Canis lupus familiaris: one gene and its partner. The protein of the gene in region 1 purifies or fractionates together with the protein of each later gene. This does not show direct contact. Links are inferred from orthologs where the notes say so. Each region holds a gene or a part of one and is shown on either strand. Other genes may lie near its edges. The genes, in order: MAK and KATNIP.

Region 1 (9,068 bases):
GCTTGCCCGAAGTGAATAGTAGAGTAGGAAAGCCAACAGCGTAATTTGTGTTTCAAAACCTCTGTTTCTGTGCACTGAAGTTTTCTTGTTTGATTTCAGAATGAAGAGAAAGTTCTATTCTTGGGATGAATGTATGAATTTGAGAGAAGTTAAGGTAAAATCCTGCTGATGAAAAGAACCCAAAGAGGCCTTCCCTCTGCCTTACCCTGTCTCGTTTCTGAGGACGGTAGCTAAAGGGATTGTTCTGTTCTTTGTGGGAAACAGTCCAAAAATAACTGTATTTCTTTTGTTTTTTTTTCTTTATCTTCCTAAGTAAAGTAATTTCTCATTTGTTATCTGAATGTCAGTGAAGGACAGAAAAAAACCACTATACCCTCATATTTGAACATATACTCTCACTTTTAAAAGAGCATTTTCATTCATGTCATCAAAGGAAAGACAACTTTTAATTACTACATACCATTTCTTTCTATTTTATGCTATATGACTTGGATACATTTTTATGTATGGAATTTCACATTGTTAAGTCAGAAAAAACTTAGGCCTATTGAATAGACTGAGAAAAAAATGTGACAGATTGAAATGTTTGGTAGGTATTATTGACTTGGTTTATTTTTGTACCTCATTCATTACTTAAAACCACTTACTTTAGATTGGTGTTCTAAGATGTTCTTAGTCATGTAAAATATTATATAAAAACTTCAAATTTTATATAAGATATTATATAAAAACATTAAAACTTCATGAATTCAGAAGAAATGGAAGATAACGTAAGGTAATTATCATAGAGATTGATGAGATTTTGACAACTTCTATAACTTTAAGAATTCTAATGCTTATTTGCTGTGTTACAGTCTCTGAAGAAACTCAATCATGCCAATGTGATTAAACTAAAAGAAGTTATCCGAGAAAATGACCATCTCTATTTTATATTTGAATATATGAAAGAAAACCTCTATCAATTAATGAAAGACAGGTATGTCTTTATTTTATAAAAATGATGTTTTCTCTGTTATCTCTTCTATGAGTTTGTTGAATCCCTTCATATGTCACACTTTACAGTGTACAGATTTATCACTCCAAGAGGAGGATCTAAATTAATTAGCTGTTACCTTTATAAACTTGAAGAACCAGCCTTGACATAGTCACCATTTTTCTGATGTAAACATACACACTATCTATCTATCTATACTTTCTGAAACAAAATCTATCTATATTTTGGCTTATTGTGTGGCTTGTTTTTTAAGAAGGCTCCACACCCAGCATAGAGCCCAACATGGGGCTTGAACTCACGACCCTGAGATCAAGACCTGAGCTGAGATCAAGACTCAGACACCTAAACGGCTGAGCCACCCAAGTGTCCCCAAAATCTTTCTATACTTTTAATACTAATAAAGCTGGCCCTGGACAAAATTGAGATTACTTTTATTGCTCTCACAAGCATTTTGTGAAGGTTAATGAAAGGAGGGAGGAAGAAATGAGGCAGTTTTCATGAAGGGATCTAATAAGTTCACTTATTAGAATGTTTAAGTGGGGGACACCTGAGTGGCTCAGTGGTTGAAGTGTCTGCCTTCTGCTCAGGTTGTGATCCCTGGGTCCTGGGATCGAGTTCTGCTTCTCCCTCTGCCTATGTCTCTGCCCCTCTCTCTGTGTCTCTCATGAAAAAATAAATAAAATCTTTTTTAAAAAAAATGAATGTTTAAGTGAATGATAAAACAATGTTACTACCAGTGCCAAACAAATTCTCATTTTCATTTTTAAACCCATGAACAGAATCTCTAAAGCGGGAGAGCTTTAGTCATCTGCCATGAATTTGGGGACGTTAGTATTTCGGTGGTAGCTATCAGTCACACGTGGGAGACTACTGTCCATTTTACCTGCTTTTAAAGCCAGGTTTGTTCAACAAAAGATGCTAAGATACTTTAGAAATATATTTCCCAGTGGAATGATGACTGCTCTCTCTATATTCCTTTCATACATACACATAAACACACTCGAGGTAATCCTTAGGGATGGTGAGTGAATTTTTCTTTTGTCATATTTTTCTTCTTTCAAAAAAAAATACTTAGTAAATGCCTGTTAGGTTCCATAGGCTGGTATCATTACAACATTCATAGCAGTTAAAATAAAAGTAAGGAAAATATCTGTGCCTCAAATCAGTGTTTATTTTTCTAGAGTTCTTTCTAGCCCCTGGGATACAGGCATGCTGGTTTTTTACATAATTGCAATTTTAGTGGTGATCATTTTTTTATTTAATTGATTCATTTACAATCATTTTGTTATGCTGATATATAACCTTAACAGTTAATATGTTCTGTTAAATGACTATACCATGCTTCACTTATCTCTACTACTTAAAAGAAATAACTATCAATGGGAGAATAGATTGGTAATTGAAGTGTGTAATATTGATGGGATTATTTTGTAGCCATTAAAAGTGATAATTATAAAGATTATGAAAATTCCCATGAGTGGATAAAAAACAGAAATCAAAATTGTAATTATGTAACATTGATACCTAATATAAAAGCTATGCATATAAATGCATTAGAACTAGATTAGAATATTAAAAAATCATAATCAGGTGATAGGCAATCTTAAATGATATATATTAATTTTTATATTGTATATTTTTGATCACATGTTGAAATATCTGGTATATATTAAGTAAAATATATTGTTAAAACTAATTTCACCTGTTTTATCTGCTTTGTTAATTTGGCTACTAGAAAAAATTTAAATACGTAAGGGTTTCTCATTTGTGACTCTTACTGTATTTCCAGTGGAAGGTACCAGTAGACAATATAGAACTGAAGCAGTTATGCCCCTAAAATCTTAAAGCCTACATAATACAGATTTGCACACTTGACTTATCTGTTGGTTATCAGTTTTCCAATTTACTTTGCTCCTCTCAGGACAGTTTAAAATTCAGCTGTTGAATATTTGTATAGTACATTCATTATTGGATTTGAGAGTTTTTACCAAACATCAAAACAAACAAAAATTCTAATTGTCACGTTTTAGATGTATAACCTGTAACAACTATAAAGTTATAAATCACACCTTTAACCACTCTCTTGAAGCCAACAGGGGCTCCAGGGGAGGAGGAACATCTGCCTTCTTGTTTTGGTTGGTTGGTTAATAGAATTACATGAAGGTTTATTTGTTCATGTCTTTACAGAAACAAGCTGTTCCCTGAGTCAGTCATCAGAAATATTATGTATCAAATATTGCAAGGGCTGGCATTTATCCATAAACACGGTAGGTTTAAATTTCATCTCCCTCCATCTTTATATTACTGTCAAGGTCATGCCCAGGAATTTTAAGCTGTTAAATAATGTTATATTGAATAACTACAAATTTGCAGTATGTGGCTATACACACTGACATTTTTATCTTAAAAACTTAGAATTTCTATAATTCTTTATAAAATAGAATTGCTGTAATCTACAACTATCTTCCTCCGTAGCAGAATTTGTAAATTTGATAATTTACTCTCAGCATAAACCCGTCCCTACAACCTCATCTCCAGTTTTACCAAGGAAATGAAAAAAAGCAAACAAAAATGCCCTAAGAAAAGATTGGAATGATCATCTGACCACTTGTTAACATTTAAATAGTTTAAAGCACCAGTGCTATGGTATTTTATAGTTTTCTTAGTATTTACATTTGGTTGTTTCTGTTCTTTGAGTAAAATTAAATAAAGTGATTGTTCCTATTTTTATACATTTCTTATTTATGTGATCTTCATTTATAGCTTTTTATGTTTATCTAACCAATTAGTCCAGAAAGTTAACATGCTTATTATGAAAATTTTTATCAAATGTTTGTTTAGAATCACTAGATGTTTAGATACTAAATTGAAAGAGGTTGTGCTAGACCATTGCTGCGTTATGACCAGAAGCATTAGAAAATCACCATCATTAGCGTGCTTTCCTGTTTTATCTCATATTTTATATTTTTTCTTTTCCCCTTTAACTGCTACAGGAAATAATTTATTTATTCCATGTAAGCATTGTCAGAACATTCCCGAATCCCACTTTTTTGTCCTTTAAAAGTCGAAAGCCTGTGATAATATACTGCAATCCATTACTAAAAGTCAGTCATTTTTTAATTATTTGGAAACAAAGGATATATGCTATCTTATTTGTTGATAATGGATTTCCAATCTTCAACCTGTTTTTAAATACTGGCCAGTATGGTAACTCATGATATTTGCCTGCATTAACTTATGCCAGTAGAAAAACTGTGGTGTGGAAAAATCAAAAGCATTATGACTTATTTGATTTTTGGAAATAGCTTTGCGATTTATTGATATTTTTAAGGATTTATTGATTATTTTAAGGATATTTTTAAGTTTTTAAGGATAAAACTGACTTAGATTCCTTGGATATATATGAACTACTAGCAAATTCAGAGCATAAGTGATTGAAGGAAGAATTTAGCTTGGGGTTAAAAATTGCTGCTAAAAGTAAATAACATGAATAATGAATGTACAGTTGATTATACAACTGATGACACAGAGATTTGGGACACTAGACTCCAAGGACAATAGACATTTTTACAAAAGCTACATTATTCTTGCTATAGTGGATAAGCGTCTCAGATGTAATGCTTCGAGTAAGTATTTTTTAAATAGTAGCTGTCAAAAAAACAAGATTAATATTTCAGTTAAAATAGTACCAAGTTACCGATATATAGTAGTGAGAATGGGGAAAACCTCAACTGTACAAATATGCTGGTTTTATTCTCTATGATTTTATGGATTATGTCGCTTTACTCACCACCACATGTGCTCCTATCCCTGTCTTCATGTTATGAAAGTGCAGTGTATTTCCCTTGAAAGTTTGTAAAATAGATAACTATTTTGAGTAAGAAGTGCCAGATAAACTGAGTACAGAACCGCTATAGATGTCACGAACATAGAGCCCACACTGGCTTAGAAGGAAGCAAAAAGCTTAGTTTAAACTTTGACTTAAAAAATTTAAGGTGAAAGCTACAGGCCCTCACAACGATCACCTACAATGGATGACCAGGCCCCTTCTTGATTCTCCCAATCGCAAGGTCATTAGAATACAGCCCATCTGTGTACAGCCAGGGTGCTATAGATCTCCCTTAGAAATGTATAAAGGCTTTCATCTTCCTGAGTTTTCTGGCTCATTTTCATTGATCTGCCTTTTAGCTTCAGTAACCACTTATTTTACATATTGAATTGATAAGTAACCATAAAGCTGCTACCGGGGAAAACTGAGCTGTTAATAAAATAATTACAAATATTTGTAAATGAAAGCTGTTAAATAAAATAATTGTAACTAATGGTAAGTCAAAGAATTGGCTAAAATGCATGGAGTTCCATTTTTGTTTTTTTTTTAAAAGATTTAATTTATTTATTCATGAGAGACACACACAGAGAGAGAGGCAGAGACACAGGCAGAGGGATAAGCAGGTTCTTTTTTTTTTTTTTTTTTTTTTTTTGAGGAGAAGCAGGTTCTATGCAGGGATCCAATATGGGACTCGATCCCAGGAGTCCAGAATCACGTCCCAGGTCAAAGGCAGATGCTAAACCGCTGAGCCACCCAGGCATCCCTCAATTTTGTTTAATAGATTTTTCAAAGAAGTGACATAAGCTTGATTATGCAGCTTTCTTCAGGCTTTAATTAGCCTCCTCCTCTCTGGGCCTCTACCTCCTCCTTTACTACACAATAGTGACCATAATACCTCCTCAAAGCTGTTGTGCAAATGAATGGAGATAATCATAAAGTGGCAATATCTAGCCCATTGCTTGAACTTACTGGATTCACAAATATAAATATGTGTTAAATGGGTATTTTTAATGACTTCATATACTCTGTGAACTTTCTTACCAAATTATTTTGAAAGCAGAGTCCCACGTCCATCACTTTTTAGATAATAAATATGGTTTCTTTTTTTCTCCTAAGTTCACATTCTTAATTACAACAGAGAGTCTCAGTTATATTTTGTTTAGAAGTCAAATATATTCAAACATAATGATCAATTATTCTTCCTCTCTGTTACCAAGGTTTTTTTCATAGGGATATGAAACCAGAGAACTTGCTTTGTATGGGGCCAGAACTTGTGAAAATTGCTGATTTTGGACTTGCAAGAGAATTAAGATCACAGCCACCATATACTGATTATGTATCTACCAGATGGTGAGTAGTTTTATACAACTTCCTAGAGATATAGGTAGGTCTATGCTGAAATTTTACAGTAGGGGATCATTACGTAGCTTTCTAGAGGTTCCATATTGAGTATTTAAAACAAAATCTAGGGGCACCTGGGTGGCTCAGTCGGTTAAGGTTCTGCCTTGGGCTCAGGTCATGATCCCAGGATCCTGGGATTGAGCCCCACATCAGACTTCCTGCTCATGGAGAAGCAGGGAGCCTGCTTCTCCTTCTCCCTGTTCATACTCTCTCTCACTATTTTTGTCACTATCTTTGTCTTTCAAATAAAATATTTTTCAAAAATTTAAAAAACAAAAAAAAAACTATAGAACTGAATTTTGCTTTCTGTAGAGAGAGGATTGGGTCATGACTATTCTGAAAGAAAAGAGATTTCATTCATTCACTCATTCATTCAACAAACATTTGTGGAACATACTATGTGCTAGGTACTATTTCAGGCATGGGGAACAGTGAGATGAACGAAACAGAAAAACACTGTCTCAGGCCACTGACCTGACATCAGTATACAAATAAACCAGTTAAAAACATAGTTACCAACAGAAAGACATACAGATGTTTATCAAAAGACATGTAATAGTCTCATGGGACACGTGGGTGGTTCAGTGGTCGAGTGTCTGCCCTTGGCTCAGGGTGCGTGATCCCGGAGTGCTATGATCAAGTCCCGCATCGGGCTCCCTGCGTGGAGCCTGCTTCTCCCTCTGCCTGTGTCTCTGCCTCTCTCTCTCTGTGTCTCTCATGAATAAATACACAAAATCTTTAAAAAAAAAAAAAAAGACATGTAATAGTCCCAAACTGCAACTACCCAAATGTCCAATACATGCAGCATAATATATTCACCCAGTGGGATGCTTTACAACAATGAGAACATAAGTTTACAACTACATACAAGAGGCCAAACAGGAAAAAAAAGTACATAAGGTATGATTCCATTTATACAAAGTGCAAAAATAGAGAAAACTAATCTATGCTGGTAGAAGTCAGGGTAGCAGTTCCTTGAGTAGTGATTGCATGACTGCAGGAGGGGGGCCACCTGGAATGCTGATAACACCCAGTTTCTTGATCTTGGTGCTGGGTCAATGGGTGTATTCTCTATGTGAAAATTCATCAAGGTGTTCTCTTACTAATATGTGCATTTTTCTGTATGTGTATTACATTTCAACAAAAACAAGAATAATTGTATATCAGGTGGTGATAGATTATTATTATGGAGAAGAATAAAATATGGAAAGAGCCAGGAAAAGGCCTGTTGTTATTTTAAATAGAGGGTCTCCCTGAGAAGGAGATGCCAAGGCAAGAAGGAGTTTTCAGGCAGAGAAAATGCTAAGTGTAGAGGCCTTGAAACAGGAAAGCCACATGTGAATTCAGCAAAGAGCAGAATGAGTAAGGAGGGCTGTATTAGGAAATGGGGTGGAGAACTGACAGAGAGCAAGATCTTAGAGGTCTTCATAGATCATAGTAGCACTGTGGTGGTTTGTTAATCTGAGTGAACTGGGGAGCCCCCTGGAGGATGCTGAGAAGAGGTGCCATGTGATCTGACATGTCTTATAAGTATTACTCTCCAGGCTATATTAAAAATAGATTTTAGAAGAGCAAGGAAAGAAGCAGGGAGACCAGGTAGGAGGCTGTTACAGTAATTCTGGCAGGAAATGACAGTGACTTGGATCTGCTGGCCATGGAGGTGCTATTTTTAAAGTAGAGCAACCATGATTTCCTGATGAATCAGATGTAGGGTATAAAATAAGAAGCCAAAGATTCTAGGGGGTTTTGTTTTGTTTTGTTTCTTGAGTAACTGGAAGGATGATGTCAGCACTAACAGAGAAAGGGAATACTGTGTAGCTTTTGAGGGGAAGCACAGTTCCATTGAGTATCTATTTTCAACTGGGTAAATTTAGATTCTATACTGAAATGGAATGAAATTGAGAAGACTCGTTTTTACCATCTAAACTTAGCAAGACATTCAAAACAATTTCATCTAGTAAAAATATCAAAACATAGTAATGACTATTGACAAAGCCACGGAGAAACTGAATCCATCATACGTCATTGGTGTGAATGTAAAATGGTGCAAAATAACAGTTCCTCAGTGGTTAAACATATAGTTACCATGGGATCCGGCAATTCCACACCTTGATCTATATACCCCAGAGAAAGGAAAACACACATCCACACAAAAATTTACATATGAATGTTCAGAACAATATTACTTAGAACAGCCCCAAATTGGAAACAACCCAAATGCCCGTCCACTGATGAATGGAGAAATAGTATGTGCTAGAGCCATACAGCAAGACAGTATTCAGCAGTAAAAAGAATGAAGTATGATACATGCTACAATATGGATGGATGAACTTTGAAAACATGTTGAAGGAAAGAAGGCAGTCCACAAGGACTGGATGGTGTATTGTTCACTGGTATGAAGTACACACAATAGGCAAATATATAGAGACAGAATGTTGACCAGTGCTGGGGATACAGGGGTATTGGGGAGGTGTGAGGTTTCCTTTGGGGCAGTGAAAATGCTCAAAATTGATTGTGACAGTGGATTACACACTCCACTTAAAGCCCTGGAGTCATACACTTTTAAATGGATAAGTTGAATTTTATTCAAATTACATCTCAATAAATCTGTCAAAGAAAGGTACTCAGAATAGAAGCAAAAAGACAAATATTTGGGCTGAAAAATCTATACATTTAAATGTGAAAAAAAAGTTAGAATTGAGAATATTTTCCACCAGGTACCTTTGCTCTAATAGGATATTTTTCTCCATTAAAGATACAGTCAGTTGGGGGAACATAGTCCACTGAAGGAATCAGCACTTTGAAACTGATGAATAATAATAATAATAAAACCCCACTGCTTAG
Region 2 (9,068 bases), on another chromosome or scaffold:
GAAAGAGAGAGCCCGAAATCCTTTTGTCCAACAGAGCATCTCATTGTAATGTCATCTGCATTTTGCAAGTGTCGGCAATAGTGGGGGTCCATGAGCTAGAGGTGAAAAAAATCGCACCTGCCCAGTTTGAGCACAAGACCTCCAGAGGCAGGAAGTGTGACCACCCATCAGCTGAGATTGGAAAGAGGAAGCAGAAAGCCAGGGGGTGCCCAGGACACTTCTCCCTGACTCCCCAGGGCTGCTGGGCCCTGCCTCTGCCACTGTTCCTCACTCTTCCTTTCTCTGCTCTGTGCATAGGGCAGGAAAGGCCCGCAGCCCAAGAGTGACAGCTGCCCGGCTCTGATGCCCAAAGTCTCAGGGGAGACGCTGATTGGCCGACGTGGGTCAGGTGTCCACCCCTTGTCCAATCAGCTGCGGCTGGAGGGCTGGTCACCTTGAACTCACATGGCTCTGTTGTGTCTCACTGCATTCCTTCTCGTTCCCCCTTTTAGTAACGGTTAGCACATACCACACCGTGGTGCTCTTGATTTTTATAAGCTTGGGTTTTGAACTTCACAGTTTGCCCCCGCCAAGGGGTAGTTTTAAAGTCTTCCATACTGTCATCTTATGCTGATGGTCCCCACCCCCCCACCCCCCAGACTGTGTTGGGTGCAGATTAAAGCAGCAGCTTTCTGGTGTCCATTCCAAGCCATGGGTAGGAATATTGACAAAGATAAAGCTCAGATCCTTGCCGCCCCCACCTCCTGACTCCCGGGGACTAGTGAGTGATGTGTTCTCCTGCAGACAGTGCCCTCAGCCTGCTGTCACAGCCCAGAGATCCAGGAGCAAGCCCTGCACCTCTCTGTTTTCAAAACCCAGAGCGTACATCTCGGAGAATAAATCCGAAAGCAGGTGCAGAGCGAGAGCAAAGTCCTGCCTTTCTTGCCAACCCAGGCCAAGTCCCTGACACATGACGTCTGTTTGCTGTCCTCGGCTCACTTACAGACCAACCCAGGCCATTCATTGCAGTTGATGGAAATCAAATCCCAATAAACTGATGTCATGACGATTCATCTGGGAAGTTCTTTCTGCCAGATGTTAAGCCTCACACCTGGAGGAGAGGAAGCAACTCCTGGGGTCTTTTTATTCATGGCAGATGAGAAGGAGGGGAGAGGGGAGGACAGGTATACAGAGCTGACAGGTGGAGGGGGGAGTCCCTGGGCTCCTGGGCCCAAACCCACAGGTTGTGTAATGGTGATGCCAGCCGTCTGTCCCTGGGCTGACAAGCACGCACTGAGCACTCCTGTGCGCCACGTTCTATGCTAGGCATTGATTGGGACAGTCTAGGGAGCAGGGCAAAGAAGTCCTCCCCGAGGAGGATGGGGACAAGGAGGGCCAGCAGGGCAGAGGGCACCACAGGATGGGCAGGAAGAGGTTTTGTCTGTGGAATAGAAAGGCCCACACGGCGGAGCTGATCTTTAGGGAGGTTAGTGAAGCTGGAGGGCCTCACCCAGGGCCCTGGTCATTCCCAGCTAGGGGAGACAATGCCAATTGGAGGAATTAGTGGCAGATTCCCTCTCAGGCACAGGGAGCTTGAAGTGACAGAGTGGACACCTCTGGACCTTCGGGGTGGGGGTGGGGGGTCGCTGGGCCCAGAAAGTGGTGGCTGAGGAAGAAAAGCCAGAACTTGCCATAGAAAATTGAGCAGCGCCTGCCTGGCAACTAGAAGCTGGCTGGGTGAGCTCAGAAAGGGAGGGCAGTGTTGAGAGGGGACCCGACAGGGCTGGGCAGAAGCCCGGGGTAGGGCTAGGGGGTGGAGAGGCTGGCAACAGAAGCAGTGGAGAGACAGGAAGCACAAACGCTCCCAAGCCCTGAGCCAGCCCTGAGGGACTGTCAAGTGGAAGACTCCACCTGGAAGTCATCATGATTCTGTATCTGGTTTGCAGAAAGTCAGCTCAGTGGAGGGTTGTGGGAATTTCAGGACTCTTACGGAGGCCACCGGGGCTCTGGCTTCAGGCATGGCTAAATCTAGGGGCTCAAATGACGTCATCGGGACTCTCTCCATCTCCGCTCACGTTCCCTGTGTTGGCTTCGTTATCAGCCAGGATCCCCACCCCTCCACCCCACCCCACCCCACCCCCGCCACTCACAGCATAGCAAAGTGGCCACTGGCACTGTCCAACATCCTGCCCCCTAGGGGCGCCAGTTTAAAGAGAGCTGCTCTCTCTCCATAGCTCCTTTCCCCACCCAGAAGGACAGCTGGCAGCATTCGCCTAATCTGGATGGTCTGATGGTGGGGGCATCCCCAAAGGAAAATCAGGAGGAGGGCAGGTGGGTCTTAGGTGCGCCAAACAGGTAACTCTGCAGAGCCCCCCCCCCCCCCCATAGCAGGGTTGAGGGAAGGTGGGAGTGGGGAGGGCGCAGGGGCTGCAGCCGAGGGAGGGAGAACATAGGGCGGCCTTTGGAGGAAGCCACGAGATCAGGTCCAGCTTCCCTTTTCTTTCCAGTAGGAGAGATTTATGCATGTCTGCAGGCAGACAGAGGGCAAGGTGCCAGTGGGGAAGGGGTGACAGAGGGTTCTGGAGAGAGAGGATAATTGATGAAGCCAGGCCCCCTAGGAGACAGGCAGAAAATGGAGTGCAAGGCACAGTCCAATATGAAAAGAGGAAAAACAGAACGTCAGTGTCCATCAGCTGCTGTTTTTCCAGAATGACACCCTTCCATGGCACTTAGCCACAGCATGGCTGTGAGGACAGGCCGCTGCAGGGGGCGCACGCCGGGGCTCTTCTGTGCTACAGGGAGGAGAGTGCGGCCTTCAGACCTGGCCCCCTGAGGGCCAGGCCCGCGCTCCGCACATGCTGGGACGCAGGCTTCCCTTCTCGAAGCCAGCCTAGCCACACAGAGGAGTAAACTCCTTACCTGTATACCTGTGTTGTTGGCAATTCTTATAGCACTTTTTCTTGGTTATAAAAATAGTACATCTGGGGAGCTCAGAAGATGGGGAGCTGAAGAAGCTAGAAGTCCTCCGGACTCCGCACTCAGAAAGCAGCATGTTTACACGTAGGTGCCCACTGCCCATAACCAGGGTCTGCGGCGGCCGCAAGAGTACAGCTGGCTTCTCCCCACCTAGCATTCTTGTGCGAGCGAGCATTCCACCCATTCTTTGAAAATATCCTGAGTCAGGTGACAGGGCGGCCTCAGAGCAGCCCCTCTGGCTGCTGACTCAGGCGCTGTCGCCAGGCCACCCCGTCCTGGGAGGCTCTGAAGTGTAGGATGGCTTCTCTGCAAAGGTTCTCACACAACAGAAGGTCTGCCCTTGATCTGCATGTGGGCCACATTCTTAGAAAATCCAAAGTACACTGAAAAATATTTTGCATTTTTTGCAAAACAACCAGAATCGAGACTCGGGTAACCATAATCAGTGTTTACCAAGCTGAATGTTGGCGTGTGACCCGAGGCCCAGAGTGTCCTGTGCAGGGCAGGAGAGTCCCATCCTGGTCCCACCCTGGTCAAAGGCCAGGAGGGCCTCTAGGCGTTGAGACAGCTAAGAGCAACACCCCCCCCCACCCCTGATTTCTAGAATGCCCTCCCGAGGGCGACCCACCTAGCCGAGAGCTCCCCAGTTGGGACGATCTGTAAGGGTCCCCACTCGCACACCTGCCGCTAACGGGGCTCCACCCCTCCTTTGTTCTTCCAGAGAACACCCAGTCCGCCAAGACGCCGCTGCGCTCCCAGTGCTGCAGCGAGCAGGAGCACACGCTGCACGAGTCCTGGGACTCCCTCAGCGCCTTTGACCGCTCCCACCGGGGACGCATCTCCAACATGGAGCTGCAGGGGGACATCCTGGACGAGTTCCTGCAGCAGCAGAAGGGCAGCCGGCACGGCGAGCAGCTGCCCCCCGGCAAGGAGGAGAAGCCAGAGCCAAGGAGAGGCCCGGAGGACAGCCCCGGAGAGCCCGACGACGGCAGTGACTTTGAAATCCCTGTCTTGCCTTACGGACAGCGCCTGGTCATCGACATCAAGTCCACGTGGGGGGACCGGCACTATGTCGGCCTCAACGGAATAGAAATATTCAGTTCAGAGGGGGAGCCAGTGCAAATCGCGAACATTTGCGCGGACCCCCCTGACATCAATGTTTTACCTGCCTACGGGAAGGACCCCCGCGTGGTCACCAACCTCATCGACGGGGTGAACAGGACCCAGGACGACATGCATGTCTGGCTGGCCCCCTTCACACTGGGCAAGCCCCACTCCATCTCCATAGACTTCGTGCACCCTTGCCAAGTCGCCCTGATCCGAATATGGAACTACAATAAATCTCGGATACATTCCTTCCGTGGCGTGAAGGACATCACCATGCTGCTAGACGCACAGTGCATCTTTAAAGGAGAAATCGCCAAGGCCTCGGGGACCCTGACGGGAGGTACAGTATGTCTGTAAGAATGTTCTGGAAGCCACTACCTGCTACCCGCTGAGGCTCTGAGGAAAGACAAAAGGCCCTGGCTAGCCAGTGACAGATGGGTCTCTCTTCCTGGGCCTGGCTCACTCCTCGCTTTTTGTAGCGTGGGGGGCGCAAGAGCTGACCTCATTTAAACTCCTCCCCTGGGTGCAGTCCTTACTCCGCGTCTGCCTTGAAGAAGGGGGGATTCTTCTACAAGCGACTTATTTGCGGGTGCTCCCAGGAGAGCCTGTGGTGCAAGGAGAGAGACAGGATGAGAATGGGAGACGCTAGGCAGGGCGAGGGCGAGGGGGAAGCCGAATCGCAGCCTGATCCCGAACGGAGCTCTGGAGCATAACTTGCAGGGTCTGTCCTGCCTTAAGGCAGAGCAGCAGGGCTCCCCAAGGTTGGGGGTGTAACTCCCATGCCCTACCAGGCAAACCTCCAGCTCCCCAAAAGGCATCAGCAGGCACTTGGGTGGGGCCCCAACAGCATCTGCTAAGGTGCCTCCCCCACACCTTAGAAGCATCTCTCATTTCAGGCCGGATCACGATTCTCATTAGGTTAGATCCCTTCATTAGGACTAAGTGGTTCCTGGGGCATGTGAATCCCATTTGCAAATGTGTGAATAATAATAAGGGAGGCTTCCTAACACAAATCAGGAACTGGTGGTGGTTGGGGATGGGGTTTTTAGCACAGAGGTTGGTGGGTCTGGGTCCCTGCTCTCCAAACCATTGTGATTCGGGCGGGGTGAGTTGACTCTTCCTCTCTCCCTGGCATCCCATCCAGCCCCAGAGCACTTTGGAGACACCATCTTGTTCACGACGGACGATGACATTCTGGAGGCCATATTCTGCTCAGATGAGACCTTTGACGGGGATGTGGCGAGCCCCTGCAGCCTGCAGAGCGAGGAGACGCCCAGGAGGCCGAGCACCGCCGACAGCGATGGGGGGGACAGGCCCTACACCCGGGCCGGCTCGTGGGCTGAGGACCGGGTAGGACTGGGGGGAAGGGGGCCCCCGGAGACATTTCTCCTCCTGACTCCGAGTGGAACAGGAGGGATGAAGATGGATGGCCTTTAAGCTGCTGGTGCTACTGTTTTGACATTTCCCATTTTTCTACTTCATTTTTTGGTCCTCTGTGTCATATTTCATTCTCTAATTATGTTTTATTTTTTTATTTTTTTTTAAGCAAAGTGAAGAAAGTATTCAAATTTTAATCAAAGCTAGGAGAAATCAGTTCTGCGTCATCTCTGTAATTTAGAGGTTGGCAGTCTCAGGGGAATTTTTGCTTTGGGTTGCGGTTTGATCGCTCACTGTTGTTTCTGATGGAAAGGACTAGGAACGCTTTTAATAGGCAGCCTTAGAATTAAAATAATGATCACCTCACCATCATTTTCCGCACACGTATGGCGATTCGGTGATAGAGCACCGTGTCACCCTTGCAAGTAGGGATCACCAGTATCCCCATTTGAGAAATCAGGGCTCAGACCCGTTAAGTGACTTGACCAAGGACACACAGCAGGAGCGTAACCAGGCTAGAACTTGAATGCGTGACTCCAAAGTCTGTGTTTTTAACCTCATAAACCAATTTTTTAGGAACTGAAAGACGACATTCAGGGGAAAGGTCAGTCTAAGTGAAGAACCAGTAATCTGGAGAGCCAGGCCCCCCAGGGATGGTCTTGAGGCCCTAGGAGAAAGAGGAGATGGTTACAGAGGGTGGGGGAGGGGAGCGGGGACAGCTGGAAACCAGAGGACCGAAGGCAGGGCCCGGCAAGGTCGTGAGGCTGTGGTGTGCAGATCCCCACTGTGTTCACTGGGGGTAAAAATCCGCAGGGGTAGGCAGAAGTGTCATGCAAGACTAGGGGGTGCTAAGGCCCCTGCTTCTCAGGACAGACGGGAGCTGCTAGTTCATGTTGGTAGTTGTCCTGATTTCTTCCGGGAGGAGCCAGAAATCTGGGCTTTTATGGAAAATGTCCCAATTAAAAACCGTTGGCAACTAAGTGGGAAGGCTTTCAAACCTTCTGTGAGCCACAGCACGTCTGTGGTCTAGAAGTGATTCATGGGTCTCCAGTCGGGAGCTGACCTTGAAGGCTTCCTTTCATGTGCCCAGCGTTTTCCAAATGCTTCTAAGGGTCTCTGATCACATCCAGCCTGGGAGGGACAGGAAGGAATCCTCACTGTCTCAGAGACAAGGAGCCCGTGTTCTGGGAGGCCAGTGTCACAACCCTAGAAAGTGCCAGGGCTGGAGCCTTACCCACCCTGTCTCGGTGTCCAGGTCAGTGCAGCCACCAGGGAGAGATCCACCAGGGAGAGTCCCAGGAGGCTCTGGGAGGGTAGGGAGCCCAGGAAGGCATGAGAAGGCACATGGGCCAGGACAGTAGCCTCCCCTGGTGGCCTGAGGCTGCTTGGTGTTGTGCATGCTCCTGGAAGACCATCTTCCTCACCCTCTTCCCCACAGCCAGGCAAGAAAGGGCCTCAAGAGGCTATGTCTAAGGGGCCAGGCCGAGGGTTCCATGATTCCTGGGACTGAAACACCATCCCCACCAAAAAACTCTAACACCCGGACAGCCAGCTTCCCCTCCTTTTGCATCTCAGCCTCCTTGTCTGCAAAACAGTAAAGGCCCTTTTGCCCTAACTTACGGTGTAGCAATCTAATGAGCAAGATGTACCCATGAGATCTGGGAAGTGGGGTGTGGCTGCCCCCTCTGCCTGCCTGTAGACCAGGGGTTCTTTATCCTGGCTTCCCTTGGGAATCACCGGAGGAGCTTTAAAAAGGCAGATTCCCAGGCCTCTCAGGTTGAGGGCCACTCTCTGTGGTTGAATTTTTCCCCCTTCTTCCCTCCCTCCATCCCTCTCTGCTGATCCTCCTCCCTGCCTCCTTCCTCAGGCTCCCTAGGTAAACATCTATTGGGTCTTTCTCTGCTCCAGAAAATCTGCTCACCTTAGCCAATGGCCTCAAACTCCTCCCCTACCAACAAGAGGTGCTGGCAAGGACTCAGACACACAGGGGTTTCTGGGTCTGCCCATGGTATCAGTCACACAGCTTCCATGGTGGCAAAAAATGCAAGACAAGACACAAGGGAGTATCTGGGGCTCGGGGTGGATAGTAGCATGGCCAGCCAGCTGTACGGGTATCAGAAAAGTCACCTACTTTCCTTCTGCTTCTCCCCTAACCCGTGTGTAGATCCCGGGGCTAGAGCCGCCACCCAGTCCCCCTGTCCCTGAAGTAACCACGCCAGAGCCGGGCATCTACCACGGGATCTGTGAGTATCCTCTTTTGGGACAGTGTCCAGGGGAAGAAGGAGCATCAGGGGCCAGGGAGAGCCATGGCTACTGGGTCAGGGACCCTCGGACAGTTGGGCAGGTTGTACATGGCACAAAGATGCCAAGCCACGGGATGGATGGGGGGTAACACAGCCTAGACTTGGCTCGCTGGTCGTGGCAGGTCTACATCACTGTGGAGGAGGGACACCTCTCTGCAGCAGGCCTTTCCAGAAGGGCACTTTTGTATTTTGAGTGCAGACATCTTATGTGTTAGTTGTAGCCCTGACCCAGGAGGCTGCAGCTAGAGCCCAGAAAGCATAGAACAGACAGGAAGAGATCTGAGGCATCTGTCAGTCCAGTGATTTGGGACCTTCAAACCCAGATGCACACATAAAAGAAAATCTGCATCTTCCCCATTCCAGGTGGGGCGGGGGCAGCAGGAATACTAGCCCAGGGTGCTGGGTCTTCTGAGAAGGCAGAGATTTGGATATTTATGTGAAATCTCCAAAAGTTTAAGTGTTGGGTGGCTAATTTTATGATATTTTAAAAACACCATGTCTGTGGCCTCTGAGCAAACCCCATCCGGGTTTCACTGTGTCTGTTCCCTCTTCTTTTCCCCACTTACCCTTCCAGCTGCTCCCTCCCCGCTCAGTACACATGCTCAGCCAGCACCTGTGGTGCGTCCTGGGGAATCTTCAGACCCCAGGCCCTGGCTTATGGATCTCTCTCCCCTGCCCCGTCCAGGAGACTCTGTCAGCCACTCTTTGCTGGGGTTCCCTGGGGCGAGCTGTTGAGGGAGGGCAGCAAGCAGGATGGGCAGAGGGAGCCCTGGAGCTGCAAAGGCCCCTTGAACCGGTCCTGAGTTGAGTGAGGGGTCAGGGCTCCATGTGTCTGTATCTGCAAGTTTCGGGATGCGGGCTGCCTCTGGGGACAGGCAAGGCCAAGGAAGCAAGGGTGGGAGGACTCAACTGTGAGGCTGTTGGCACTCCCCTCCCCTGGAGGAGTGAGTCCTTCAGTCCCAGGGGTGGGCATGGGACCCGGGCACCACCCCCCAGCAGCCTCAACACCCCTTTCTCGAGGCCTTGCTGCCACCCACTTCTTCCCCAAGAGGCCTGCCCACCTGCCCAGCGAGAACCGTGTCTGCCTCCCTCACTTCCCAAAGACAAATTCCCTCTTAGAAGGGGAAGATACCTGACTTGGAGTCCTCATGGCTCCTCACATTCCAGAACACTCTCTCAATTTCTCTCACTTAGTCTGAGACAACAGAGAATTTCTAGAGCCAGCCTAGGGCAGGCAAGAGCCTGGTTTGGGGCTTGGTTTTGTCTCCCACTCAGGCACCCTGCTGAGGCTTCCCCTGCCGTATCTCAGTGAACACTCCGTTCTTA

The links.
Region 2: the proteins of MAK (region 1) and KATNIP purify together in Homo sapiens (affinity purification with mass spectrometry; 3 studies listed by BioGRID and IntAct, with this or other methods). This does not show direct contact. The link is inferred for Canis lupus familiaris from reciprocal best matches to the Homo sapiens genes MAK and KATNIP.

The regions. Positions count from the first base shown.
Region 1 is NC_049256.1:11,805,373-11,814,440, reverse strand, and holds part of MAK (serine/threonine-protein kinase MAK), read left to right. Parts: intron 1-99; coding exon 100-154; intron 155-854; coding exon 855-976; intron 977-3,181; coding exon 3,182-3,261; intron 3,262-6,040; coding exon 6,041-6,173; intron 6,174-9,068. UniProt on the Homo sapiens protein: Essential for the regulation of ciliary length and required for the long-term survival of photoreceptors. Phosphorylates FZR1 in a cell cycle-dependent manner. Plays a role in the transcriptional coactivation of AR.
Region 2 is NC_049227.1:19,125,195-19,134,262, reverse strand, and holds part of KATNIP (katanin-interacting protein), read left to right. Parts: intron 1-2,955; coding exon 2,956-3,039; intron 3,040-3,676; coding exon 3,677-4,402; intron 4,403-5,206; coding exon 5,207-5,412; intron 5,413-7,603; coding exon 7,604-7,682; intron 7,683-9,068. UniProt on the Homo sapiens protein: May influence the stability of microtubules (MT), possibly through interaction with the MT-severing katanin complex.